3 linked regions of the Arabidopsis thaliana genome follow. The protein of the gene in region 1 binds, or shares a complex with, the protein of each later gene. Each region holds a gene or a part of one and is shown on either strand. Other genes may lie near its edges.

Region 1 (11,576 bases):
AAGAGAGGTTAGAGTAATGGTGCTTTTCTTGGTTAAGGCTGTTTGGTTTTTCTTGATAAGGTCATTTTATTTTTTTTGTTTCCGCAGTTGTAAAGCTGAGTTGCTGTGGTTAACTTTTTCTGTCTCCATAGAATCCATATTTTGCTTCATTCATAGGGAACAATTAAATATTTGAAAAGTAATTAATATTAATTTAATAAAAACCGTTGGAAACTTCAAGATTCTTTGGTTCACTTAGTTTCTTTCGCATTTTTCTTGTTTTATATTGCTTTTAGATTTTCTTTTCTTTTGATACACGAATAAATATTCTATTCAGAAGTGTAAAATTTCAGAGACATTTTACAGATATCAAGACAAGTAAAAAAATAGAAAAAGAAACGTGTATAAGTAGTTGTTAGAGGAAAACAATGATGGATGTACCTTGTGGAGCAAGTCATATGATCCTAAGTTCTGTTAACCCGTCAGACACCTCTACACCTGGTAATTAAGGCTTCTTGATTTGAATTGAAACAGTTAGTGCAGGTGATAAATGACAACTTGGTGCAAGCATTATTGGTGTCTTTTGCTTCCTCAGGCAATTGAACTTCAGTCAATTGCTCAAAACCTGAGAAGGAAACCTCGTCAATATTATCGAGTTTGAAAATTATTGGTGAGATGCATAATTTCCTTAAAAATATGACATCTAATTTGACCGAGTGGTTTCCCAAGCATATAAGTTATGGACCATTTTGCTAGCCGTAGATTTATTAAATCTCCATAGTATTTTTGAAGTAATTTTTGTGGATGAGTTAAATAGTTTTCCGACACAAATGATACCCGACCCGATTAGAAATATTGTTCATAAAATTTGATTGGATCGGATTTTATTTAAACCGACTCTTCCACTGTTTTTTTGCCTAAAAGACGGATACAAATATTAACAAAAATGGATCATGTCCACTAATTATGTTTCTATATTTAATAAGAAAGATATTTAATAAATTTGGTTCTGATTTAAATTTATAATTCTTCTTTCCTCCTTGTTTGATTTTTTTTTTTACTTGTTTTAAATAATCATATAATAATTAAAGGTTAAAAAAATCTCAAAAAAATCTTCAATTTGGGCTTATTATAAAAGTCGAATCACGCAGCATATATATAACAAGATAACAAAAGAGTTTATGAGTGTGTCTTTTGATTTTCCTGCGATAAAAGAGTTTACTAGCAAACAAGACCTGAAAGTTTGACAAAACAAAATATGTTTCTTGGAAAGCAACCATCTAAATTCTGAAAAAGCAAAAGAATATTACTTTCTCATAGGATTAATATTTATTATCCGTAACAATACTTTTTGAATTTATGCATAATATTTTTAACTAGAGCAGGATGGTAGTCGTAGTTTTGATAATATCATACGTGTGTTTTTGGATTGCTGTAGCTAAAAGAGAGAAGAAATTGCTTGGAAGAAAAGGGATTGGAGTTAATATAATTATCTTCGTGGATTGTGGTCCATTCTCCTCCACTCACACTTTAATCATATGATGAAACATCTTTGATAAATTTCCAAATACAAACATAATTAAAATCCTATAGTATGATATATGCTTCTCCGGGAAAGTCAAAATGTTCTATTGAATGTGTTAGGCTTACTGTTTACATAAAACATAAAACTTTGGCTACTTATTCCATCATTTATGCTTCGTCTTTATCTTCGTCTTCATCTTCGTCTTCATCTTCTTCTTCTGTAGGCTTGTTAACTGTTCCAATGGAAGCGTGTTGAAGAAGGTACCCCTTTTTTTCTTACTCTGTTTCTTGTTTCTTGTGTTACAGGCTACAATTTTGCGTAGTATACAAGAAGTAGAACTGATACAAATATTCTGGACATGACTCTAAAAGACAGATTTTAAAAGTTCAACAATCAAATTATAGAAACTCCATTACTCATTTTGATATCACATAGGAAAGTAACAACAGAATATGGTTTATTCACTCTTGGGTCTTGGCCTTAATATGTTACATAGTTGCAGCTTCGTCTCTATATGCATAATCAGATTGGAAGCAAAATTGAAAATTATGCGATATCATTTCTTACATAGCTACAAAGCCATATAGCCAGAGCCGTCCCTAGGGATTTGGTTGCCACAAGCAAAAATATTTTATGGACCAACTAATTATCCCTCTACATTACCATGTTCAGAGAATCTTATACCAAATCCTTTTAATATGAAGTATCTGTTAGATGAAAGTTGTATATCAACATGACCGTAGTTGACTTCAGCTATAGAGGAGAATCCAGAGCCAAAAGAGTTTCAAACAACAGATTTCATCCAATCTCAGACAACAAATTTTTGAGAACAATTTTATTGACACTTTGTCCCTTAAATTTATTTACAAAATTCTTGTGAAGATGTGAGCTCATAATTCTCCACACCGTAGTTGAGGTGATCCTTGCTCGAGTTAGGAAAGGATTTATGGAGAAATAATCCTCAAACTGTAAGAAACAAGAAAATAAGTATAATGTGAGGATTCAGAAATTAAATTGTAATAGTAATGACATAAGCTCAAAACAAATGTGCAAGCTAAGAAAGAAACAGAGTACTTGAAAACAAATAAATGAATTCCATCTGCCAATTTTGAGAAATCTTCATTTTGTTAAAACCATTTGCGTGAATTCCATCAGTTTTTTTGTATCCACAACACGACTTGCATTTGAAACAATTGTGACGCTTTGTGTTAAAGATTATTCGGAACTAGACTAAGTTGGTTTATGGACTTTGAAAGATGCCTAAAAACTTTGCAGGTGTGGCTACAAAGCAAGTCAGTCGTTCGTTGTCTCTCCATAAACAAAAGAGAACTATTATACATCAAAAACTTAATTCAGGTCCACTTTAAAACTTTGTGCCTGACAGAAATTAAAGGAATCGTGATAGTAATGAAATAAGCTTATCACAAACGTGCAACCACAGAAAAGAAACAAAACATTTTAAAACATTCACATGAACATCAACATCTTCATCTGCCATTTGAGAAAATTATGTTCATTCAGCTTATTGTAATTAAAAACCAATGGCTTGAATTCCATCATGACTTGTTTTTGAAATAATACTAACAATCTAATTATCCCACAATTTATATAATATCAAAGTCTTTAACCAAACAGTGAACAACATTGATGGCTGTGAAATTGATCAACTGAATAAAAAGTCTATAACCAGATAATCAGAAATTCAAAAGTAACTTCGCACTCTTCAAAGTGTTCAGTCACATTGCCTATACCATCATCGTCACTATCCCCACGCTCTTCACTCTGATTACTCTCATTGCTTATATTACTGTCTTCGCACTCTTGAAAATGATCAGTCTCCCTGCCTATATCACTATTCTTATCCTCGCTCTTCGCTCTGATCAGTCTAATGGCATCCATCATTGTCTTCATCGGCCTCACAAACATGCTGCATAGTGTTTGGATTACCATGTCGGTTCTTCGATGATGACAGTCCTCTAAGTGTCGTATACCCCATCCGTTTAATATTACTCATATGAAGTGGTGTAGCTGCAAAAGAATCCAGTCGTCAATCATACAAAAAGAATGAGAGATGAATAGTCATTATGTTTAATTAATGCTTAATGCTTACCCGCATGCGCTTCTTGCTTCTCTCAGTCTCTACATTGTTATCTCCAGAGTCTTCACTATTTTCAATCTCATTAACAAGTCCTTGAACATGTGTATAATACCCCATATTGCCTTCTTCGGCTTGAGAAACATGTGGAAGAGTACTGTTTGGATTACCAAGTCGGTTCTCTGCTGATGAACCGGTCTCTAAGAGTCGTATACCCCATTCTTTTAAAACGACCGTAGATCTCCAATCTCCACTAGTTATATGAATATTTATATCCACATGATCATAGTTCAGTTGAGATAGAGGAACATTATCTTTGTATAGACGGATACGACAGTCAAATATACACAGATGAATACCCTTCTCAATTTCCATGAAATTATGTACCTCACCAAAGGAATCAAATTTGTTCCCAATTCTGCCTTTGAACCGACTATATACCCCGATATATACTCCATTGGAAGCACTTACCACTGCACAAACCCTAAATCTGAAGAATGGTTGAGAGAGTTGTGTGGGAAGTAGAGGGATGGGCAGAGAGGAAGACGTTCCAAATGGTTGAGAGTCAGATGTTCGGTAAGTGAAATATGATGGCACTTCTTCACCTGGCAATATCATGGAGTTGAAAATAATCGACTGTTGGTGAAGGACAGGTTCTCGATCCAGATTGACGCAATCCATGAAATTGACATTGAGGACGCAACTATCAGGAAGAGAAGAGGTGGTCTCCTCAGAAACTATGTCAGCATTGTCTGCCTTCATCATCTCCACCCCACTTGGATAGCAACTCAAATCAACTCTGGTCAATGCCCCGCAATTGGAAAAGCTAACTTCCCCAAGATGTTTGAGTTTAAAAATGTTTAGGGATACACATTTTAGCTCGCGGCAACCTTTCATAGTTAGCTTAGTGAGGTTAAAGAAGTTCTCGATCTGCCAAGGAACCTCTTCAATCCCAGTTTGGTCTAGATCGAGATATTTGATGTTGGTTGAGATATCAGGAAAGCGCTTCAACCGTGAGCATCCAAAGAGATTAAGGGAAACGAGAGATTCGAGGTTGATTCCGGTGGGTAGAGACTCCAGATTTCTGCAGTAACAAATGTCCAACCTCTCAAGGTTATTGAGATTCTGAAATGAGGACGAAAGCTCTACTAAATTTGGGATATTCCAGAGCTCCAAGAGGGTCAAAGTGGGAGACAGCATCGGCATGAAGGGCTGAACCAAATAAACAATTTAGAGATGTTAAACAAAAATCACCAATAATACAATTTACAGTTTGGGACTTTTCAATTAATTAATCTAAGCTAAAACAAATTCCATTACGAAACAAATTTGCATTTGTCATTTTGCATTCTTTGTTTGTTGATTGACTTGGTAATACTCAATGCAAGATTTACCTTTACACTTTGAAAAGAAAAACATATAATGGATTCTCATGATATTGGAGAGAACTACATATACCTTCACTCCTTGGCATTTATTCTCATCACTATCCGCTTTCCCCATGCTTAGCTCACGGACATTCTTGAAATACAAATTGGAAGGGTATTCTTCAATAGATGTTTCTGCCAGAATGAGATTTGAGATGTTGGTTGCGAATTCAGGAAAAGTCCTCAACTTCCAGCATTCATTGAAATTGAGGTAGTCCAGGGATTTGAGGTTGAAACCCGTAGGAAGAGTCTCCAATTCACCGCAGTATTCCATATTCAATTCCAACAGTTTATTGAGATTTCGTATAGAGGAAGGAAGCTCCACCAAACTCCAGCAATGTCCAAAGTCAAGTTTCTCAATGTTAGTGGCCTTTGAAAGATCTGGGATTTCTTTCAGGTATTTAGATGCCCACATATCCAATTCCTTTAGACATGTAAATGACTGTACTCAGACAAAAATAAACGCAGAGCTCAGTTGAAATTACACATCACGTCATTTAAAAACTACAATTAGCATTAACAATTTATTCTTAAACCTTACCATAGCTCCTTCCCACAGCTTCTCTAGCTTGCTGTCATGCATTTCGAGCTTGACGAGGTTTCGAAGAAAAGTATAAGGCATACATTTCAGTGGAAATCTATCCCAAATCAATTGTTTGGGTTGAACGGAATAATAGTTTATTTTTTCCGGTAAATGCACTTTGACTTCTTCTTCTATAAAAGTCTTCGAGGAAATATCCAAGAAAAGGAGATTACCCATCCCTTTGAAGGCATTCTCATGTACACAAAACTCACTAACCTTACTTGTATCCAATGATATTCCTAGCACCTTTCGAGTACCCTGAAAAATATGATATTAGTGAGATAGAGACAAAACCATACAATTCATGATTCATCAAATGGCACTTTCTTAACCTCGTATACTGAAAGTAGCACAACTAAAAAAAAGACTTACAATGCCTTCACTGAGTACAGTACGACTATCGTTTGAATCCACCAGAAATTCTCGTTCTCCTGGGTTGTCAGTGGACTGTGAGCGTACAATATTTCTACCCGTTTCTTGTAGCAAACGGTGCATCTCCACATGATCATTTCTGACATGAATAAGGGACTTATCAACTAGGTTTTCCAGTGCAATATTTACATCTAAGCCACTATCTGCGAGCAACAATTCAATGTCTCTGACTTTGACGTGATTGAAAAGACATGCGATAAGACGGAATAACGCTTGATCTTTTACGTTGCCTATCGCATCATAGCTGACTTTCAATGTCTCCTCAATATTGCCATCTAGATCATTTTGAAGCCTTGGCAACATCTTCACCCAGTACTCCTTTTTTCTCCCTCGTAGAGCTGAACCAAAAACAGTAAGACCCAAAGGAAGACTACCAGCAAGCCATGCAATTTCAACTACGAGCTCCTCAAAACCTTCAGGTGGAGAGTTTTCCCCGAAAGCAGACTGACAAAACATCTCTTGAGCGCGCTCTTTAGAAGGGAGACTAACTTCGTAAATATGATCAATTCCATGGGCCCTTAAGAATTGCTTATTATTGGTAATCACTATGATCCTGCTCCCACATCCAAACCAATTAGTTTTACCCACCAATGAATCTAGTACCACTAGATCATCCAAATCATCAATGATGATGAGAGTTTTCTGGTGCTTTAGCCTCTCTCCCAGTGCACCTAAATGATCAATCTTTATGTCTTTTTTCCCCAAAATTTCCGATAGGAAACATCCTTGCAAGTGCAACTTCATGTTCGGGTCGTCCGGATTGGCGCCCTTGTAAGTTTCTCTACTCTTATATACAAAAGCTCTGTCTATGAATTTGCTAACTGGGAAATGCCGAGAAAGTTGGTTAAACAGAGCTCTTGCAATGGTAGTCTTACCAATCCCCGAGGAACCCCATATACCAACCATTCTCACTTCCTCAGCTTCCAATTTCAACAATACACTCATATTTGCAATATGATCTTCAATGCCAATAGAGTTCTCAGCAGAATCCGTGGATGAAGTTAAAAGCAGTTTAGCCAAAACATCATTGGCTATTTCTTCAATCATTTTTGCTTCGTCATCCCTAATAAGGTGAAAGATAATTTAAGAAATATGAAACAACAATTTTATTTCAAGATGTATCTAATAATGAATTTGGTATAAAAATCATACCATTTGGCAGAATCAAATCCAAGCATATTAGCTACATCAGTCAACGCTTTCTTCCATTGATTTTTCACTTCCTCTGTTTGTCTCTTGCAAGTCTTTTCAAAGATACTTCCAAATTCACCGATTTGATACCTCACTTGGGAAGGATCCACACCGTAGAAAACCGGTATGATAATTTTATCATTGCAGTTCACAATCTCCAGCAACTCGTTAAGACACCAGCTCGACGAAGCGTAGTTTTTGGAGAAAACGACCACTGCGATTCTGGAGTCCTTGATCGCTTGTTCAAGATCGGGCCAAAGAGAGTGGCTTCTCTCGATCTCATTGTCTCTGAAAGCAGAGATCAGTTTCCGATCAAGCTCTTTGAGAAAGTGGCTACGGAATGTTACGCGGACGTCTTTCCCACTGAAGCTCAAGAAAACATCATAAACCCAATTGCGAGAAGAAGATGAAGAAGCCATAGAGAGAGTTAGAAGGAGGAAACTAGAAACGAAGACTTTGGAGATTGAGATTTTAAGAAGAGAAATAGAGGACAAGTAGTGAGTCTGTCTTGGTGGATATAAAACATTTAACATAACAGCTGAGAGGTAACTTGGCCATACAAGTTTTCACAATTATTTCTTAGACTTTTACTTGGCGGAAGTTTCCTCTTTGTTGACTCAATCGTCATAACCATATTTCATAGCCTCTTGTCTTTACTACTGTATATCATTCATTTACAAATTCTTAATAAAGATGTACAATACGAAGTTGCAAAACTTTTTACAAATTCTTAATAAGGATACAAGTTTTCGAAATTACCAAGCAATTCCACAGTAACAGTGAAAAGTGAAGCAACGTAATCATTATCCTACTGGCCACTGTTAAATCAGGAAACTGTGAACGAAGGAACGAGCAACAAAACATCAAAGAGTTTGATAAATATCTAAGGAGACTTTTTGGTCTTTTTAGGAGACTTGGTAGTTGGTAACATCTTAAAGCCTATGATATTTGAAAGAATTTGGGAGAATATCTATCACGAATTTTTAAAAAATGTAAATTACTTAAAGTCAGACACATCATCGTGCTTGACATAAAGAATAAGACGACATTGTCAACATTTTAGGTAGGGGAGGCAAGGCATTGAGTGGTGCGAAATTGTGCATAATATTTGTTTAATTTTCTTCCGAGTCTTTTGAAGTTTTGTGGTCAAGTCCACAAAAAACAATAAAAATACTGTGGAGGAAAACCAAATTTCTTTTAAAAAAAATCTAGTGTTAGCTTAGGACTTAGTTAAACACATGAGTTGGAAACAAAATAAAAGACTTATTAGTTCAAAATATTTAATTGTAAGATTCTCAATTCTCATATATAGACATGGTCTCAAAAGAAACAGAAAAAAGGGACAAATTGGACAATAATGGGTGTCACCATGTATATCTAAATATAGAAAGAAAAGAAAAATTAACCAATCAAATAAGAAGAACCTCTTCCAATTGATCTCCATTCTCCTCTTTTTTCGTCAGCCTGCAAAACTTTTGCAATGCGTCGTCTTTCCACCACCTAACGTGAGCCGATTAAGACTTGGCGATTTCTTCAATCATGCTTGCTTCATTATATATCCCTAATAAGAAAAAAGACCAATTCACAAACATTAGCAATTGCACCACTGTTGTCATACACCTTAACGAAAGTTTCCTCTTTTCTGCTGGATCTTGACTTAATCATCTCTTTTAGATTTGGACTTAATCGCCACCACTCAAGTAAAAACCATGTCCATAGCCTCTTATTCTTACATTAATATCTTGTCAGATCCGTAACCAACATTGGTCATCAAAGTGACTTCCTCCAGCTTTCCTGAACAATAACAATTGCAAGACAAAAGAATCATCAGAGAATGAAAGTTAAGCATATCATTAGAGAATCAAAACAAGCTTTCAAACGAATGACATAGGTGAGAAATGTCAACAGGGTTAAAGTAACAGTAAGCTTATCAAATCAAAAGCTAACTGTGTCGCAAGACCTGTAGGAGATTCACTTTCTGCCCATGTAAAAACGAAGTAACCAGAAACAGAATTTTGATTACCAGATACCACAGGGCATTGTCTAGATGCAAATTTTCATGTTCCTAACGAAGTTTGAAACAATCTAGAAAGCCTCAGACCTTTTTCAACTAGTGGAGAGTGAAATCCGAAAACGAATAAAAGAAAACTCAATTCAGGTACACTGTAAAACTTTGTTCCAGACAGCAAATTCTTGTGAACACAAATAACACAAATAGTTCTTCAGAAATTAAATCGTTATAGTAATGAAATAAGCTTATCACAAACGTGCAACCTAAGAAAAAAAACAAAAAATTATAAAACATTGACATGAACAGTACCATCTTCATCTGCCATTTGAGACAATTCCATTCCTTCAGCTTTATAATCTAATTAAAAACCAGTGGCTTGAATTCCATCAATTTTTGTAACTACATCACGACTTTTTTTTGAAATATATGCCTCATAATACTAGCACACATGTATCTAATTATCCCATAATAGATAATATCAAAGTCTTTAACCAAGCAGTGAACAACATTGATGGCTGTGAAATTTATCAATTGAATACAGCCAAATATCTATATAATAAAAAGTCTATAACCAGACAATCAGAAATTCAAAAGCATGCTACTATATATATGCTCTGTATTTACAATTGATGTGGAACTAAAATGAAATGGTTTATGAGTTTTTTTGGGTCACCTGAAAATGTCTGTCTAGCTAGGGAGACAATGAGGAATCTTGGGCTCTTCTTGTTGTTCCATAGAACCGGCAGCAAAACTACTCATTCCATCACCACAAAAGTATCTCAAAGATTCATTTCTTTTTCACATAATCTGCAAGCAAAAGAAAACAACTCAGTGATTTATAATATTAAAGATCCTGACGGCGAGATATCTGTTATTCTGTTCAGTTCTTGATTAATACTTACCTGCCATTGTGTACTGGTTCTCTCTGTCTCTACTCTCTTCATTGTATTCAATCTCATTAGTCACTCTGATCAATCTCATTGCCTATATCACTATCTTCGCACTCTTCAAAGTGATCAGTCTCACTGCCACTATCACTATTCATCACTGTCTCCTCGCTCTTCACTCTGATCAATCCCAATGCATATACCACCAGTATCGTCCATGTCTTCACATTCTTCACTCTGATCAATCTCATGGCCTATATCACTATTTCCACACTCTTCAAACTGATCAGTCTCACTGTCTATACCAATATCATCACTCTGTATCCACGCTCTTCACTCTGATCAGTCTCATAGCCTATCTCAATGTCTTGAGCCTCTTGGAACTTTTGGCACTCTCACCGTTTCACTGTCTTCACGAACATGCTACAGAGTATTTAGATAACCAAGTTGGTTCTCGGATGATGAACAGTCCTCGATGAGGCGTATACCCCATACTATTAATCTGACCGTAGAGTCACTTCTATACCTTAAATGAAGCTGTATATCCACGCGATCATAGTTCATTTCAGCTGGAGAAGCATTACCTTGGTATAGAGGGAAAGAGCACTCATATATGTCAAGGTGGTTACCATTCTCAGCTTTATAAAGCCTACGTGGTTGATTCTCAAATCCATCTTTGAATCGACAAGAAATATGGGTGACAAAATATGAAAACTGACCAGAAGATTTGCAACCAACCACTGCGAAAGCTTTAAATCTGAAGAACGGTTGCGAGGGAGAGGTGTGAGGTAGAGGTATGTTGGTTAGAGAGGTTCCAGTAGTGCGATGAGTGAAATATGAAATCATTTCTTTTCCTGACATCCTAGAGAACATGGAATCAGCTGATCGTTGCAGAAGGATAACGTCTTCATTCTGTTTACTGCTTGTCTCCGTCACTACATCACCTCTATCACCTTGTTCAGTCCCATTAACCAAATTTTCTTCATCCTCTACACAAACATGTGGAAGAGTACTGTTTGGATTACCAAGTCGGTTCTCCGCTGATGAACAGTCCTCTAAGAGTCGTATACCCCATTCTTTTAAAACGACCGTAGATCTCCAATCTCCACTAGTTATATGAATATTTATATCCACATGATCATAGTTCAGTTGAGATAGAGGAACATTATCTTTGTATAGACGGATACGACAGTCAAATATACACAGATGAATACCCTTCTCAATTTCCATGAATTTATGTAGCTCACCAAAGGAATCAAATTTGTTCCCAATTCTGCCTTTGAACCGACTATATACCCCGATATATACTCCATTGGAAGCACTTACCACTGCACAAACCCTAAATCTGAAGAATGGTTGAGAGAGTTGTGTGGGAAGTAGAGGGATGGGCAGAGAGGAAGACGTTCCAAATGGTTGAGAGTCAGATGTTCGGTAAGTGAAATATGA
Region 2 (8,986 bases), on another chromosome or scaffold:
CATTTTTCAATCCTAAAGTCTAAGGTACATTTGAATTGGTTTTTATAATGTATTTGGAGTCACTTGAGTGAAGGTCTTATGTTTTTGGGGAAGATGTTGGATTTGGTGGTGTCTTCCGATGTACAACAGGATTAGCTGAACGTTTTGGGAAATCTCGAGTTTTCAACACTCCTCTCTGCGAGCAAGGCATTGTTGGCTTTGGCATTGGTTTAGCTGCAATGGTCACTTCTTCTCTTCTTTTGTTTCTTCTGTTTACCTCTCATTGCTATCACATCATCTTACTGGTTACTTATTCGCTTGCAGGGAAATCGAGTTATTGCGGAAATTCAGTTTGCGGATTATATTTTCCCGGCTTTTGATCAGGTAAAAATGCTACCTTTACCTTTAAACCAAGTTATGATGACGCATGAGTTCTCTTTATGGAGTTTTGTGATTTCGTAGATTGTTAATGAGGCTGCAAAGTTCAGATACCGAAGTGGAAACCAGTTTAACTGTGGAGGTAAACTCATATCTTCTTGTGCCTTCTTGGTTATGAGACACCAAGTTTTTACTCATTGGGGTTTATGTGACAATTGTAGGACTCACTATTAGGGCACCGTACGGAGCAGTTGGTCACGGTGGACATTACCACTCGCAGTCCCCTGAAGCTTTCTTTTGTCATGTCCCTGGTATCAAAGTACATCTTCTTACTAAAGCTTCTTCTTTCTCTATTTGCTTCATATTCTTAGGTGTATATGAAAATTGCATGTTTTGGGTAGGTTGTTATTCCTCGAAGTCCACGGGAAGCTAAGGGATTATTATTGTCATCCATCCGTGATCCGAATCCCGTTGTCTTTTTCGAACCAAAGGTACTACTTCTTGAGTTATTTTCAACTTCAAGAACCTGTAAAAGAGTCTTTGATCCTTTGTTCTTCTTCTTCAGTGGCTATATCGTCAAGCGGTAGAGGATGTCCCTGAAGATGACTATATGATACCTTTATCTGAGGCAGAGGTATATAGGTTCCATTTCTAGTGTCTCTTCTTTTAGTACACTTCTAAGACTAATAAATGAAAACTTTTTGTCACAGGTTATGCGAGAAGGTTCCGACATAACTCTTGTTGGATGGGGAGCACAGCTCACTATCATGGAACAAGCATGTCTTGACGCAGAAAACGTTAGTTTTTATGTTTTGCACTTAATTAGTCTTTGGCGATACAGATGATGAAACAAAATGTTTTTGCAGGAAGGAATATCGTGTGAATTGATAGATCTCAAGACTCTGATCCCTTGGGATAAGGAAATCGTTGAGACCTCAGTGAGAAAGACTGGCAGACTTCTTGTAAGTTAAGCTTCTCTGAGTGAGTATCATTGTCCTAAGTCTCAGAGAATAAATGTGTTTGCTTACTTCGGTTGCAGATTAGCCATGAAGCTCCTGTTACAGGAGGCTTTGGGGCCGAGATCGCTGCAACTATAGTTGAGCGTTGCTTCTTGAGGGTAAAAACAAGTCATATTTGTCTACAGCATTATAATTTTTGGTAACAATGTCTGGTTTTCATATTTGCTTACATGTCTGGTTACTTTTGCAGTTAGAAGCACCTGTAAGCAGAGTTTGTGGCCTGGACACTCCTTTCCCTCTAGTGTTCGAACCTTTCTACATGCCAACCAAGAACAAGGCAAGTTTTGTTTCTGGTCTGTATCTTATACATATATTTTCGTTTTTGTTGCTAATTCTTCCCTGGCTCACAATTTGATGCAGATATTGGATGCAATCAGATCCACTGTGAATTACTAGCCCATCTTAGCATTGTACACATGATTCTCTGTCTCCTATCTTCGAAATAATTATTGATGCTGGTGGTTCAGACATGTAATGGATACTGTAATCACCACTTTTGTTATTTAATCTATGATCTTGAAACTCTCCATCTTTGTTCACAATCTTGGCCAATCTCTATGATAAACAAGACTTTAGGGCTACACACTGAGTTAAGGTTCTACTTGTAACATAAGTGGAAATGTGAGGACACTACAGCAACATACATGTAAGACATATCTTGGAAAGAAAAAGAAAAAAAATAGAACCGAAGAATTGTCTTTAGAATCTCCATTGTGTATATACAATGTTATATTATGAACCAAAACACAAGGTGAGAGTCTAGCTACTGTGAAAGCCTTTGTTCAAGGGCAAAATTCTCAGCAAGCTTTAGCAACTCCAAGGGGCTAAGACCGCACAACTAGTTTTGCAGGGAACAAATCCGTGACCCTATAAAAGATAAACACAACAATTAGGTTCATGCACGAATAAATCGAGAAATCAAACATTACTAAGAAAGATGAGGAAAGTTGACGGGTGTGTTACATACTATTGCTGTATCTTTCTGAATTCCGAGAGCACGGGGTATATATTCTCAAAGGCTTTGTAGGTCTCATCTCTCATCTGATAATGAGTGATCTCAGGATTTTTTCAGGTGACAGAAGAGCTAGAGACTAGAGAGAGACATAACAAGTATTATCACAAAACCTAAAGAGAAGTGAGATATTACCTTGGCTCCTGTTATTACGATCTTCCCAGAGACAAAGATTAGAAGGACGATTTTTGGGACTTTCATCCTATAAATCAGCCCTGGGAAGAGCTCGGGCTCATACTAACCACACGCCAATATGAGAGAGAGGTAATGGCCATCAGCACAACGTTTTTATCTCTAAAAGTCGGTCCTTGACTACTAAATGTATAAGTTAAGATCACTCACACTTGAGAAAGCAGCGTGAGAGTAAGCAAGACCTTCAAGTCTTATAGGGAATTTGACATCACAAGAACCTACAATATTCTGAATCTTGAAATCCTGCAGGATGTAACAATTGAATATATTTAGTATAAGCAAAAGTAAGAAAAAAAATGTTGGATAGGGAAAAGGTTTAAAGAAATTGTACCTTGAATTTTGCAGGGAATCCCAATTTCTGCACAATCCTAGCATACTAAACAATAAAACATCTCCTATTAGCATAAACAAATGAGGAGCAAATAGCATACTGCAATTATTGCTAAAGTAAAGAAGAACAGATCTATAAGAAAGTTAAATTAAAGAGGTTAAAGATAAAAAAAATCTACCTTTCTAGCAGCCATCTTCGAAAAGTCCTCGCTCTTAGCTCCAGTACAGACCTAATTGGAGATTAGTCGCCAAATTCAGAAGAGAATTCAAACCAATGTAATTAAATTTCAGAATTATGAAAAAGTATTGCCAACCAAAATAACTATACCATTTTCCCTGAGGCGAATATTAATGCTGTAGTCTTCGGTTCTCTGATCCTCATTATCACCGCAGCAAAACGCTGGAAACATAAAACACAAGAGGTATTACATAAGACGAGCTTAGCTAAGGCAAATTAGTTTAGCAAAAGCCAAAAACAGATAATATCTTAGATTCTAATTAATCAGTACACAGTATATAGACCAATCAGATCTCAGGTAACAATAAGGTCAACTCAAGGAGAGAGTACTCTTCCAAACAACTTTTCTACCGTTTATTAAAACAAAAAGTCACAATATAATGCAAATACCTTGGGATTATATTCAGCATTCCGAGCCTGCAAAGCTATGGCTTTAAGATCTAGCTTGCAGTCTAAGTTCACCGTGGAGACAATGTTTCTGAAACAAAACATCAAAGATGTCAACAGGGGTCAAACAAACACTTAATCCCAAGAGACAAAAAACAAATACGAAGGCACAAAAGAACTCACTGAAGAGTAGGAACAATCCCTGAAGGATGCTTGCTAAGATCAACTGGATTACTCCCTTCCAATCCTTGATCAGTCATTCTTCTATAGTTACACAAAACCAAAATCAACACAATCAAAATAAGCAATAGCCAGAAAATATAATAGACACTAGACACGATCCAAGACAATATGCTTAAAAGTCTTATCAGATAGACTTATCATTCAAAAGGGTTTCAATTATTTGAGAATACAGAGCCAATTTTAGATTTCATCTTCCAAAACAACGAGACTTATCCTCTTAAGGTGATGAAACTCATAAGATCTAATCGAAAAAACTCAGGAAAAGGATTAAAGGTCAGACCTTTGGATAGCGAAGAAATCCGAAATCTAGGGTTTCGTAGCTTTAAGACGAGAAGGAAAGATTCGAGGGAAGAGTTTGGGCGAAAGGAAGCCGAAGAATTGAGAAAAGGAGAAGCCTTTTATACAAAGAATTGAGAATCGAAGAGGGAAAAAGATTTATAAATCGGTGCTTATATAAGGGGAGAGTGAATTTGTTTCTCTCGCTTCTGGTTTTTAGATCTGTGAGAGAGAGGAGGTCATCGACTTGCGTTTCGGATTTGGGATCCTTAAGCCCCTTTATACCTATATATACATACCCATGCTACCCTTGACCGTCCTTGTTACATCGAGGGTAATTTTGGAAATTTATGCGGTAATGCTACGATGACGGCTGTCTTTCGGTTTTATGTGAAAGTCCACTCCTTTTCGGCCACGTCAGCTTTAGTGTTATAACGCTATTATATTTTTGCATATTTAGCGATTTAGTGAACATTTTTTTTCAAGTAGAAATTTATAATTTTTCATTGATTTTTTCAAATCACATAATGTGGAATTGAAAATCAAAATTTCACATCAGTTAAAATCCACTAACCAATAACCCCACTAAATCAAATCACTGTTACGACTACACCACCAACACAAAACATGATTTTCATAAAAATTAAAACACTAGAGAATTCTTGGTTAAACAAAGCATGCTTATGAGATCTCTAGCCATCTTTGTAGTATCAGCGCCATTGTTTCTCCATAAGCGAAGATAAGGATTTCGAAAACTGCGAAACAAACGATGATGATGATGTCTCTTTGTCCTGGCTCTCCTCATCCTTGTCTCTCCAGAACTTTAGGATAACGAGATTCTCCTCTTCTGTTGATCTCTGAACTACGATTCTCGAAGCATAACCTTTCTTTCTCATCATCAGACAAATCTCTGCTGGGAAATTTGAAGTTAATGTCACTAAGTAGAACCATCCTTTCTCTGATAGCAAAAGATCAACCACAGGCAAGATTTTATCGATGACTGTCCGGCCATTTTCCCCTCCTGCCCAAGCAGAGGCAATACCTTCCATTCCAACTTCATATTCAGGTGTTGGCACATAAGGCGGATTCACCACAATCACGTCGACTGAGCCAGCAAGTCTCTTCTCTAGACCAGTAGCTAAATCTGCGCAGATAACATCAGCATTAACTCCATGTGCTTCTAGAGTTTCTTTTGTCACTCTTGTAGCTATCGGGTTAGTGTCAATGGCGAGATAATGAACACCAGGAACTTCGTTTTGAAGAAGAAGTATAAGTGAAGTTATGACATATCCGCTTCCGCATCCAATCTCCATACAAATCTTAGGGTTGTGCTCTATAAGGTTGGTGCGATCAGCGAGTAATGCATCAACTAGCGCAAATGAATCATCACATGGTTCATAGACCTCACGATGCGAGCTTACAAGACGGATAGCAGCAATTCTTGGTGGCATCTTGTAAATGACTTGACTACTAAACAAACAAACAAAAACCACACCATTACAAGTTAGAAGGTTTTAACTTTGAGAAGGTGTATTCCATATTTCAAATATAAACAAGCTTGCAGTCTAAAGTTCACCATAGACATCAAACAAACACTAACTCTTAAGAGACTAAAATAAAGACAAAGGCACAAAAGAACTCACTGAGGAGTAGGAACAATCCCTGAAGGATGTTTGCTAAGGTCCATTGGATTACTCTCTTCTAATCCTTGGTCAGCCATTCGTCTAAAACAACAGACAATCAAACTAAGCAAAAGAACTCAGAGAAGATAATTGCCACTAGACACGATCCAAGACCACAAGAAAACTTATGCGTAAAAGTCTGATAAGATAGCTTCATCAAATGGGTTTCAACTATTTGGGAATACAGAGCCAATTTTAATTTCATCTGCCAAAACTACGACACTTTTCCTCTAAGCTATAATACCGATACGAGAAATCATATCTGAACGATTAAACCCATGAAAAGGATTAAAGGTCAGACCTTTCGATAGCGAGCAAATCCAAGTTTTGAACACGAAATCGAGGTTTTCGTAGCTTTAATACGATTATGGAAGATAAAGAATCTGGCTTTATGAGATGGAGGCTCAATCGTAGCCTTGAAAGTCGTGCCCTTCTCTCTCTCTTGAAGACAATTTCCGGTAAGTAGATTTAGTTTCCTTTTTCTTTTTGTTCCGATCTGCTCTTCATCGTCGGTTTGAAGCCTCTTCAAGGAAGTCCAGGAGTGAGCCGATGCTTGTCTCCGTCAACGTGTGGTGTGGAGCTCTCTCTCTGATGTGGATTTGGCTCTGGTTTTGTCGGTCGAGAAGGTTGCGGCGGGGGTCTCTTGGTTATGGACGCTGAGGGTTGCTGCGAGGTTCTCAGGCTCACCCGTGATTCTAGTCGCTGCGTCCACGGCGGAAGTTGGAGAGGGGTAAGGGGGGGTTCGTTGTCTGATGCGGTGGTTAACAGTAGATCTGTTTGGATCTTAGATGGCTGCAGCGGGTTTTGGATCTAGAGAGTCTGACTGAGCCACCAGTCTTTAGGTCTGCCGTTTTTGGTCTCCACCGGTCCGGATCGACGTGTGTTTGGCTCTGGGTCTTTGCTATTTTCCGGTGATGGGAGAGAAGTGTTATCGCTGAGTGTTTCGGGTTGCTAGGTCGGGATCCGGTTCCGTGGAACCGCTACGTCGGAGCGGCTAGCTTTCCGGGAGTCTTGTGGTGGGTTGGTGCGTTGGAGTTGAGTCTCTACAGACGAAAACCGGAATCTTTCGTCGGTGGTGGACGATTCTCGGAGGCGGCCACAAAGCTGTGGGACTTGAGTCCGCCGGATCTAGGTTTTGGTCGCTCTGCTAGCGACGGTCAACAGGCGGCGAGCTTTTTTCTTTTTCCTGGCGATGTGTCAGAAAACCCTAATTTTGTAACTGGACCGAATTGTTTGTAAGTTTCGGCCCAAGCCCATTGGGTAGTTTTAATGAAATTATAAAAAAAAAAAAAAAAAAAAAGAATCTGGCTTTTTGTAAAACGCGGTTTTGGGTAGTCTTCGAAATCTTCAATTTTATTCAACTAGTAAAGAAAAAATCTCAGACGAAAGATTTTCACGAAGAAGAAGCACCGGCTACGGCGGAGGAGAAAAAGTGGAAACTTGGAATAATGAAATCAAGCCTACAAGTTTCAATAATTTACACTTTAGCCCCAAAACTTACAAAATCAACATAATTGAATCTTCCCATGCGTGTAATGGGCCGAAAGCCCCTTAAATTAGTGGTTGAGATATAGCAAATACACGTTTCTAATTTCAAGCTTTGAAGTTTGATCTTGGTCGATATTATCTTCATAGAAATTGAAGGATGGGATCTTATGAAAATGTTCACATAGCTCCTTTTAGTTAATCATTGCAACAAATCCAGCCTTTTGCAGGAGGCGAACGGCTGACTTTTACGGTGATCTTCTTTCCTTTGTGAATGTCAATCTCTCTACCTTCTTCTTCTTCTTCTTCATTGGCTTGTTACACGTTAAAACTATATTACAAACCTCATTTTAACACCATATAATAACAATATTTGCACTTATGCAGTTATGAAGACTTACTAATTTTCCGGTTTTTGGAAAAAGGAACGACGGTCGAATTGGAAAATGTGATGCATAAAAGTAGAAGCAAAGCTATAAGAATGAACTTGAGACTCATTTTTCTTTCTTCCTCTTTCTTCCCGGGTATATATGTATATAACATCTTATAAACTATAAATTAGCTAGTGTTAGACTGTTAGGCAGAGATTATATATATCAGGGTCGTTCTCATTACAGTTGGTGTGATACTGATATGTATACGTCAATGCATGCAATGAAAACATATTGACTTTCTAAGTCTTGTCTTTTTTTCCTTATTTTTGCATTTGTTGAAAAGTCCAATGTTAATCATATCATCATTTTGGTGAGAAAATGAAAAAGACCTTGTTGTCACTCAATACTCGATTTTAAATCGTATAGTGAACTAAATAATAATTTACATATCGAAGTTTCATTTAATTTATTCGAAGAGTATCACACACAATGAAACAACTTTACAAATAATCAGAAATCACAAGTTAATAGATTATATATAGATTGGATCGCTAATTAAGATCGTTACATGTCATAACTTAGAAATGATCTTCGGTGGACCGCCTCCGTGAGGAGCAGGTCTAGAAAAACTGCCTGTAAAGCCAATCTTCATTCCTTTGCTGATGTGTATATTTCCAAGCCATTTTCCTATTTAAAATTCGATTAACCATAAAATAAATTTCCTATTTTTTTCAAGAATTTATGTATATGTAAATTAACAATTGTATATTTCTATACAAATTAAACAACAAAAGTGTTGCTAGTTTGTAGTTATCATTTATTGATCGAAAGCAATTATTAATTCTACAAGATCAACTTTTTCCATACATCAAAGAGTTTTACGTGGCATATGTATAGATAATAGATCCACGAATTTGATCTGAATATCTATCAAATAACAACTATAAAATAAAAGAGATAGGTAATGGATACTTACTTGTTGTGCGAGTTGGATAAGTAACTTTAGCCAAAGCTGGGTTTGATGCAATAGACGAGAGGAGAATCCAACCAATTAGCAAAACCAACTTCCAATTCATCTTTTTAAGCTTTAGGACTATGCAAAGACTTAATGGGTGGTCATATAAAGAGAAAAACTTGATGCGGTGGAGTTGTTTATTACATATTTACAACAAATGATGCTTCTAAGAAATAACATTAATTATATAAGAAGATTTAATAAGTTTTTGGACTTTTGTTTTATCGATGAAGTTGCTTGAGATTGCTTAGTTTAATGAGGTCAAATTAGAGACAGGGTGTCATGTTTAATACTATAATTAAAAAGCATAATTATCGATCAACATCATACCTAGTAGATTTTTTTTTAAAAACCATTTTTAAAAAATAATAGTTGT
Region 3 (9,917 bases), on another chromosome or scaffold:
CGATACTCACCTCCACGCTATCTCCATACATTTGATATAAACTTCTCAAGCCAAAGAAAACTTTGATATGCCATGCAATCCTCTTCATGCATGTCTGATCAGTTTTACATTCATGTAACCATGTAGACTATAGGAACACCAGAAACTATTTCTGCTTGAATTACTTTATCAGAGTCTAAGATCAGTGTTTAAGTATCATGTTGTCTATAGAATAGTTCATATTCTCCTCCACCCATTTCAATCTAAACAATTCAAAATTTTATTTAACAAATTTTAAATGCACAACTGTTTTCTTTAGTAATATAATTCTTGGATCAAGCGGAGATGTATGGGGAACGTGTGTGACACGAAGCTCGATGATGAACAACTTTCCAAGTTAACTTCTTTGCCGCCTACCTCTGAACTCAAGTTGCGTAATTTTTTCCATTCTAGCTCACCAAATCTATAGTATTTTCGTTTTTTTCGTTTTTGACAATTTATTATCGTTTAGGTTTCATAATACTCTGACCAAAAAGAAGGCTTCCGTAATGTTTACACAATTAATGAAGTAACTAGATTTTAACCCGCGGTGTACCGCAAGAACAATATATTTTTAAAAGTTAGTATACATAAAAGTTTGTAAATTGTATCTATCTATAAAATATTTTTATTTTATAGTTTACAATTGTTATTAAGTAACGTCCTGCCAAACCCCTCCCGCCAATCCGTCCCGTAAAAAAACCATTTATTTTATTAATATTGATCTTATTTATAATATGTTTATGAATTATTGTCTAAATATTTTGTAATTTTATAGTAAGTAAATGCTATCATATATCTCTGCGATTTGATGATTATAATCGAATTGTTATAGTCATGGAGAAAAGCAATATCAAAAATGATAATTTTGTAGTAATTAAATGATATTAAATATTTTGAAAGTTTTATTTTAGGAACTAATCGTGTAGTTAATGTGGAGAGATTTAGGGAACATTGTTAAATGCCAAATATTTAATTCGAATATTTTTTTTTTAATTATCAAAATCAAACATTAAAATCCAGTGACAGCCATTGTAAATAAGTCTCAATTACAGGATTTATTTCACAAAATGGCTGTAAAAATGTATATGTACATTAGTTGTGTATAAACATTAAAATGCTGTTGAAGTGGCGGTGTTATGGTAGCGAGGGTCTATCTTCGTTCTTGAGAGATGAGTTTTTTGTTTGCCTCTAACAGTTGGCAATATGAATAGGAATACGAGGCTTAAGCTAAGAAAGTGTTCAATTCATAGAGAATTGGATTTCGCATGTAAACGGCCTAAATTGTATTTATAAATCTCTAATAAATAAAAAACAACTCTTGTGATATATCACATTTTTCTTTTTCTTTTCATGTAGAAAGGAGTTGAAAGAAAAGTAGGAACAAATATGCTCTTTCTCTGACACTCCCTTTTTGGAGAAGGATCTACACAGGCCAGAGATACTAACAGGCTCTCACACGTGCAACCGTGATACACGTGCGTCTCACTTTCTCTGAATTGTACAAGTTCAAGTAACGAAGCAAATCTCAATCGAATCCAAAGACAAGGACCTCCACGTGGGATTCTTGAGGAAATCTTCAAAACGACTGAATAACCAAAATAAATAATGATCTGTAGAGTACACATATTATTACCCCTTAAATTTGTACTTAAAATTTATCGACTTTCTTAATTACATGAAATGATCTATAGAATTTCATATAATCGTGTATATCATTCTTTGTATAATAGGTACAATAACACAAATTCATAAATTTATATGCAAATATAAGGATCATCCATCGGCAGTGAAATCAAAAGGGCTCCAACTTCCAAACAAGAGATTGGTGGAATCATTGGATTCGTCAGCGAAATGAACCACCGGTTCGTGTACAGCCTGAACCGGAGTCACGCCAACGTCTACATGGTTATGACCAATCAACAAAGCATCAGACCAAACACCATTAGTGTCTAAAGAGAGAAGCTCTTCACCAGGAAATGGAGGCAAGCCATTATAACCACATTCCTCCACAATGTGTTCCACCGGATTAATATAATGATCATGATGACCATCATTGATGTCCATACTCCATGAAGGGTCCATGGAAGTGCCGGTAGGATTATCTACCAAAAAATCCGTAGTGGCTAAGTCGCAATTTTCTTGTAGTATAGATTCGTCAGGCTTTGGATTCAAGAAATTGGCGTAAACAAGAGCAAGATCGATGCTTGGTGAACCACCACCGGGGTTGCCAGAATTAGCGGTTAGGCTAGTTTTAGTATTGTTACCAGAAGATGATTTGGGGCGGCGGGATTTTCGACAGCCACCGCCTACAGGAACATTGCGGAGGGAACCACCTTTGGTCCAATATCTGCGGCAGCCTTTGCAGAAGTAGCGAGGCTGAGTGAGGCTATAGTTGTTGTAGTAACAGAACTTTGTGTTAGAGGATCCACATCTTGGACAACTCGGCGTGATCTCCGCGTTTGCGTTTGCGTTTGGCCGCCATATAAACGATGATGTCAAGGCCTCTGCTCTCTCCATATCTCTCTCGCTCTTCTTTAGTCTATCGGAATACGAATGTATTATATACGCATGCATGAATGTGTGGGTGAGAGTTTGTGCATGTGGAGAGTTTGAGACGCGTGGAGGCTAGAGAGTGGATGAAGTTTGGGGGAGCAAATGCCTCGTAAGGGTGCACTCACTGTTGCTTCTTGGGGGAGACAGGGTTAAGGGTTTTGAATCTTTGATAGATATTTAAATACTAGTATTTGTTTTTTTTATCATAAGATATGAATAAGAAAATAGATCGTCTTGGAGATTGTTTCGAAGGGAACTAAGAAGCCTATGGCCTCTTTGGAGAGATGGGTTATTGGGTGTACATTGAGCTATTTGTACGGCTTAGTTTATGGATGCTGCACGATTAATATATGTCTTTTAAAATTAATAGAATGTACTTACAATCATATTAAGTAAAATATTCATATCAATAAGTACTAAACCATGAGTTATCTATATTGCAACATTTTCTATTCACATTATATTCGCGAGAGGACGATGAATATTTGGCCAGAGTCGTTAAGAATCAGAACTTGTAGATAACGAATCATAGATAGTCATAATTATATAATAGTATATAGTATGAAAATGGTATGTAAGGTATGCGTAACGATCTGTGAATAGAAACTATAGAACGAGAAGGTGAAACAAGAAGACACAAGTTTTGAAGAACAAGGACTGTCTCTATTTGTCTACTTATTTGACTTGAATTTATTTGATTTATTAACCCACAGAAAAATGGGGATTGGAAAGGAAAATCTGAATGGGATAAAGAGCTTCTTGGATCATGTAAATATTGGCAATCTCCAAGAATTCTATGTAGTAGGTCTTACGTTTTTCTATATATTTGTATTCTAAAATTCCTGAAATTAGATCACCATCACACTACATGTTGGTTTTAGAGTAATAGCTTTACTTCTCACCAAAAAAAAAAAAAAGAGAGCAATAGCTCTACATGAGAAACTCTTTGCACATTGCACAAAAAAAGAAACTCTTGCAAAACTTGTTGAACATTGACGATAAATTTTGTTTTAGAATATATAGTAACATTCATCAGAAAGTCTTGCATAAACATGATGAACAACAATGATACAGATTGTTATATAGCATATCAAACATTCGATTTGCTATTAGTCCTACTAAGTCTCCATTGCGTCACTCTCATCAACAACCATCTCAATTTCATTTTCATAACCCATTTTGCACTTGAACTCTTTCAGATTCGCCTCCCACACACTATAACTCGAGTTCTTCGCTTTAACATCCAAAGAAACCTCCTTCTTCGTCACCAATGTATTCGCATAACTCTCGAATGGAACAATCTTTTCCCGTAACAAAGATCTCCTCTGGGGATCACTACTCTCTTTTCTCGCCTCATCCAACCACTCTTTTGCTTGCTCAAGCTTAGCCCAAAAGCAAGTATCTTGCGTTGTGCTCGCGTATCTGCTTCTCACACACTCCTCAGGCACTTTAACTCCTTTCTGCCATTTATCAATCACCTCATACCTTTTAGGTCTATTCCCCTCCAAGTAATGCCCGCCAGTCTTTATATCTCTGTTTTTGTAGAAATTCGCAATGTCGAGTGGCTCGGCTAAGAGTTGATAAAATTGAGATGCGTAAATCCATTTCTTTCCTAAATGAAAATCAAAAGGTAACTCATTCGTCTCCACCATTTTAATCACTGTGTCCCAAAACTTAGCTAGTCTTATGCGACTCATGTTCACTTTAAAGTCTCTCTTCAACGAATATCGTTTGAAGAAATCGTAGTAACCTAGCTGCTCTTCTGATGCATCGCAACGATCTTTGTACCATTGAATCTCGAGTCTTGCTGGCAAGACACTAGCAAGCTCATTGGCTAACTCAGCTGACCTCAGAATAGGAGCCCGAACAATTCTTGTAGCTGTTTCTATACATTCTTTGACTAAAACGCCACTTGTGTCATCGTTAGAGAAACCTAGAGCTTCAACGGCTAACGCAACACCAGCTTGGTAGCTATTGTCGGGGATACTCCCACCAAGAAAGCTTCTAGATTTAAGAAACATGTGTGAAAGTGTGAACACATAGTGTCCGTACCTCTGATGTTCCTCGGTGTTTTGAGTTGCTGTGGTGTTGAGGATATTAAACATCAGACGAACAGAACCAGCGTTGTCTAGACAGACACCTCCTTTGTCGGAACAGAACAAGTAAGTTCCAAAGGGCCAGAATTGTTCATTGCTGCTTCTAGGAACGAGGTCGTGGATGGAGACCACGTGGCAGAAGTTGTGTGCTAAACGTGATCGTGAAATTGAGGTGGAGAGAGATTGGTTTCCGAGCAGAGGAGAGCCAAAGGTGATACAAAAGACGCGGAATGACGGCGGAGAAGATTGAGATAGAAGCCAAAGTGCGGTGAAAGCGGCCAATGCGCCGCCGGTTGAATGGCCGGTTATCACCACCAGCTTTTTACCTAACAATTCCAATTCCAATCCTTCCTTGATCTGCACGTTAATGCAGTCGACGTTACTGTAAATTGGTTGACTAACAAGAACAAAACTGATTATAGATTACCTTCCTTCTGAGTGTACAATTTCCTCTAATAATGTAAACTGATTTAGAGACTAAATTTGCCAATTACTTGGTTTAACCAAATTTGAATAAAAATCAGTTAAGACACCTCTCTAGACTTACCATTTTTACAACTTATATCTACATTAATGGTCACTTCTTGTTTTTTCTACTCATCAAAACCAATAGGAACTTGTTTTTGTTCAAGATTTTCATATCCTTAGAGACAAAACAAAAACTAAAAGTATTCGACGAAAAAGGGAATAAAATACATGATGGTGACACAATAATCATGGGTTAAAAACTTTTTGAGCGCACATTTATAAACTTCGCCGAGGTGTGTTAAAGCATAAAGCGTAAAGCTACCAATTCCATTAACATTTTTTGTTTTTTTTGGTGTCAAAAATACCAATGACGTTTCACTCACTAATTAGTAAATTTTTTAAATCACTTGGGCGGACGGACGTGATGGCATACAAACCAAACTTTCAATTGACTTGCTTATGATATCCAAAGGTCGCGACAATGACATATTCCAAATGGTGGATTTGGAATAATTGTGTCCACGAATCTTTTTAGAATTTCTTACAAGAAAATAATTTTTATTTATTATCTATTGTCTATTGCCTATTGGGGTAGGTGGTGGTGATAGTTTATAATAATCTTTTAAAAGGACAAAAAAAACCTCCATTTGGATTATAATTCATCAAAATTCAGAGGACAGAGATATTTAAATAAAAAATAGTAATGATCATCAGTTCTACTAAAAAGTACTAAAATACGTAAAAAAAATAGTAACTTTAATAGGTAAAATTCGTTTTCGCAAATCCAAACGAATAAAACTTATGATAGAATTTTGTTTTTTTTTAAAATCCTTTGTGAAATAATTTCCCATATTAGCATTTAATGATTTTTGTATTTTTCTCTCGAGGTATTATTAATTGAAATTCAAATATCCACATGCCTTGAAGATAATAAATAGGTTAAATTGCATCCAATAGAAAGAAAAAAAAACAGAGGAAGAGAAAACAAACCTTTAACTGAAGAAAGAGTTTGAGTATGGCAGCGTCGACCATAGGTAGAGGTTCATCGGAGGATAAGCCGGGGAAAAGAACATCTCCGGTGACTGGCAAGCCCACAAGATTCCCCAACTGAATCATCGATACCGCCGGTATAGCAACGTATGTAATCCCGGCGATGTCATGGATCTTTATACTCCCGTTGCAATTTGCGGTGTTGCATGAACTCCAAGAATCGGTAAATAAAGGAGTCGATATCATTACCGAAGCTTGCAACTCACTCGTCTCGAATCGACAATCGTCCATGATTGGATATCGAGTAGAGAGTTGCAGAACGATGATGTTTATGAAGTTGTAAATATATTACAAGCAAAAAGAAATTATCTATGTATCTTCTTGGCTTGTTCCTATGTAATTTCTTGGTTTTGGTCTTTGCTAAGTCGTCTTCTTCAAAGTCTCTTACTTTAACATCATAATTTAGTAAAATTGTACTGGTTTTATAAAATAATAATAAAGAAATGCTGTGAAAGGTAGGTCCATTCTCATTTTTTAATCATTGTGTGTAGAGGACAAAAAAATATGTAAATATATAGTAGAAGAAAATGCGAATCAAAGCATGTGATCCTATGTAATCGGAATGGTTTAGACTTGAGCATAAATTGACAACTTTTGATATGCAGAAACTTTGGTAAGAGTTTATCTATCTATCTTTCATGGAAATTGCAGAGAAATCAACCTACATTTGACTCAGACATTTTGAAGTTTTTTTGGCTAAGCTTTTAAAAGGAACCAATTACTTTCAGTTTCAGCTTAACATGATATAGTTATACAATTTGGCCCATATAAGTCCTACAAGTTAGACCCACCATGACTTGAGGAGATTTTTAAGTTGTGGTCTACCTCTACTAGAGAGATATAGATACTTGTTAATGAATTTGATAATTTACTGTTTGGAAAGGTTTATATCTAATTTAACAAAAAAACAAAGCATTGAAAGGTCCATGCCATTGTCATCTTTTAATCTCTGTTTGGGATCTTTGTGGAAAAACCTAGAGTACAAAATGGGGCAAATTATCAAAACAAAACAAAAAAGGTTTGAAGAAGAAATATCTGATGATTAGGACTTAAGCATGTATTAGAAAACTCTTGCCTTAACAAACTGATAATGATAAAAGAGATAATCTGAATCCTAAATGTCAATGAAACTATCCAACCGGACAATAATCATTGCAAAGCTACCATCTATAGTAATTTTCATGTAATTTTCTGGTTTTGATATTTTCCTGAATTGGAGTAAATATTCAAATTAAACAATGAACTTCTATAACCAAGTCTCTCCATTAGAGACTAGTAGTACATTTTCTTGGTGTTTTCTCATATGATGAAGTCAGTCGTCGTCCAAAGTTTTCTCAACTAAATGATGTTAAACAATCAATCTGACACATCTTTGTATCACCACATGTTATCGTCTCCCTATACTTATTTAGCTAATCTGCTTTATCTATAAAGCAATCTTGTAATTGTCAAGTTTGATATTTTGCTCTAACATGCTTCTTTTCAAGAGATACGTATAATCGAATCATAACTTAAAACAATTTAAGTACTTATCGGATTCCTAATCTCTTCTTCCACCTTAATAATACAGCTCGAAACTTTATACAAAATACGAAAAACGGTGTAACAAATCATGTATGAATATTGATTAGATTAATGATTCTGTTATGCGATTGAACTACAATAACAGATTCAATATAGCAGACTTTTCCAAAAATTGATGACAAATAAACGATCATGACTCAAAAGAAATTGCTCAAACTGTTATGATTAAGAACACATGGATTCATCAGTTACATGAAATGGATTGAAATCAGTAAATCTCTTTAATCTGATAAAACCCTAATTTTACAAACCCTCTTTGGATGTGGTTGCAGTAGCGGCGGTGTCGAAGTCATCGGGGTCTTTGGTTGGGTCAGATTTGTCGATTGAGGAGCGGAATTTATCGAGGAAAGGCTTGAAAGCGATCTCTATGGCTAACCATCCTAACGCCATCGCTGCGACCACCACAGTCGCCTGTTTCGCTCCCGAAGTTTTTCCCATCGCTGCGTCGTCGTCTTGTTCGCGTGTCGGTGGTATCAACCGATGGTTTAAGATCGGGAGATGGGTTTTACTAGGATGTTTAAAATGGGCCGGTTTGGGCTTCTCATTGGATAAAGATAGTTTGTTTGTTAAACTATGGCCCAACTTTTTATCCGTCTATTGGTTAATTAATACAAACTTTTTATATAATTGTAAATATAATTGAAAGGATCCCTATTTTATTTTCTTGGGAATATATATATGGAAAAAAACAATCAATAGAATTAGATAAATAGTTCAATATATCAACAATTTCTTTTTTGTTAGGATAAGGAACTTTTACCTTTTTTCTAATATAGTTACAAATTGTGTTTTTTTTTTTCTTAATTTATTATCAAATTTCTTTTTTACTTATATATAACCTCCTTTTTCATATAGAGTTATTAACTTTTTCATTTTCTCAGTAAATGTATTAACAAATTTAGACTTAATACATGAAGACATCTAATATTTTTATTGATATGTGTCGTGAACTCGTGACATGTTAGTTAGTAATTTTTATAAAAAAAATTTAGATAGGTTAAAATTATTTGATATGTGTAGGGGTGTCAATGGGTCAAAATTTATTGGTCAACTCAACTCAACCCATAAACCCTAATGAGTTGAAAATTTTGACTCAAATGAGTTGATGGGTCAAATGAGTTGATGAGTCAATTGGTTTGATGAGTAAAATGAGTTGGGTTGTAATGATTAATGGTTTCAATGGTTTACCCAATTAACCCATCAAGTTTTGTAAAATTGAATTAAACCAACTAAAATTTCTAAATCAATGTCAATTTAAGTCTAACCAACACATCTAAACCAATTTAATAAAATTAATATTTTTCCAAATTTCTTAAATATACATGCGATGAAATTGAGAAAAAGTAAACTCGTAAATTTTCCACCAAAAAACATAAACCCGTGATTTTCCCGCCAAAAACGTAAATCCGTGATTTTCTCGCCAAAAACGTAAACCCGTGATTTTTCCGCCAAAAACGTAAACCCCTGATTTTTCCGCCAAAAACGTAAACCAGAGATTTTCCCGCCAAAAACGTAAATCCATAATTTCCCGCCAAAAACGGAAACCCGTAATTTTTCCGCCAAAAACGTAAACCCATAATTTTTTTCCAAAAACGTAAACCCGTGATTTTCCCACCAAAAACGTAAACCCGTGATTTTCCCGCCAAAAACGTAAACCCGAGATTTTTCCGCCAAAAACATAAACCCGTGGTTTTCCCGCCAAAAACGTAAACTCGTAATTTTGACGCTAAAAACGTAAACTCGTAATTTTCTCGCCAAAAAACGTAAACTCGTAATTTTTCCACCAAAAACGTAAACCCGTGATTTTCCCACCAAAAACGTAAACCCGTGATTTTCCCACCAAAAACGTAAACCCGTGATTTTCCCACCAAAAACGTAAACCCAAGATTTTCCCATAAAAAACGTAAACCCATAAAAAGTAGAATCCGTAAATATCCTAAGTTTGATGATAATGAATTAATAATGATAATTATTTATTATTATTTTATAATAGTAATTAAGTAAATTATTAATTAAATGGGTTAACCCATTTAACAACTCAACCCATCAAATTAAATGAGTTATGAGTTGACCCAACCCATTTAACAAAATGAGTTGAGTTAACACATAACTCATTTAACTCTAAACTCATTTGATTATGAGTTG

Evidence for each region.
Region 2: AT5G46520 (region 1) and TBP1 share a complex: the UniProt entries of both Arabidopsis thaliana proteins name them as parts of the nuclear protein complex.
Region 3: AT5G46520 (region 1) and PAD4 share a complex: the UniProt entries of both Arabidopsis thaliana proteins name them as parts of the nuclear protein complex.

Annotation. Positions count from the first base shown.
Region 1 is NC_003076.8:18,863,915-18,875,490, reverse strand, and holds AT5G46520 (Disease resistance protein (TIR-NBS-LRR class) family), read right to left. Parts: upstream 7,876-11,576; 5' UTR 7,766-7,875; coding exon 7,194-7,765; intron 7,105-7,193; coding exon 5,982-7,104; intron 5,868-5,981; coding exon 5,568-5,867; intron 5,469-5,567; coding exon 5,058-5,468; intron 4,812-5,057; coding exon 3,615-4,811; intron 3,533-3,614; coding exon 3,515-3,532; 3' UTR 3,023-3,514; downstream 1-3,022. Other genes in the region: AT5G46510 (Disease resistance protein (TIR-NBS-LRR class) family), read right to left, coding at 10,281-10,429, 10,574-11,576. UniProt on the Arabidopsis thaliana protein: Disease resistance protein of the TIR-NB-LRR-type. Part of the RPS6 locus that contains a cluster of several paralogous disease resistance (R) genes.
Region 2 is NC_003074.8:4,375,126-4,384,111, reverse strand, and holds TBP1 (TATA binding protein 1), read right to left. Parts: upstream 4,320-8,986; 5' UTR 4,059-4,319; intron 3,800-4,058; 5' UTR 3,796-3,799; coding exon 3,719-3,795; intron 3,627-3,718; coding exon 3,539-3,626; intron 3,311-3,538; coding exon 3,239-3,310; intron 3,141-3,238; coding exon 3,090-3,140; intron 2,957-3,089; coding exon 2,912-2,956; intron 2,824-2,911; coding exon 2,731-2,823; intron 2,626-2,730; coding exon 2,524-2,625; coding exon of another isoform or gene 2,461-2,523; exon of another isoform or gene 2,418-2,460; coding exon 2,344-2,417; intron 2,244-2,343; coding exon 2,243-2,243; 3' UTR 1,888-2,242; downstream 1-1,887. Other genes in the region: DIN4 (Transketolase family protein), read left to right, coding at 74-221, 304-363, 442-499, 579-676, 759-848, 923-991, 1,068-1,154, 1,224-1,319 and 3 more; AT3G13440 (S-adenosyl-L-methionine-dependent methyltransferases superfamily protein), read right to left, coding at 4,765-5,524, 5,698-5,774; AT3G13437 (uncharacterized protein), read right to left, coding at 7,420-7,535, 7,623-7,764; AT3G13435 (uncharacterized protein), read right to left, coding at 8,167-8,282, 8,572-8,671. UniProt on the Arabidopsis thaliana protein: General transcription factor that functions at the core of the DNA-binding multiprotein factor TFIID.
Region 3 is NC_003074.8:19,428,068-19,437,984, reverse strand, and holds PAD4 (alpha/beta-Hydrolases superfamily protein), read right to left. Parts: upstream 6,891-9,917; 5' UTR 6,420-6,890; coding exon 6,129-6,419; intron 5,028-6,128; coding exon 3,693-5,027; 3' UTR 3,535-3,692; downstream 1-3,534. Other genes in the region: AT3G52440 (Dof-type zinc finger DNA-binding family protein), read right to left, coding at 1,795-2,595; OEP7 (outer envelope membrane protein 7), read right to left, coding at 8,016-8,210.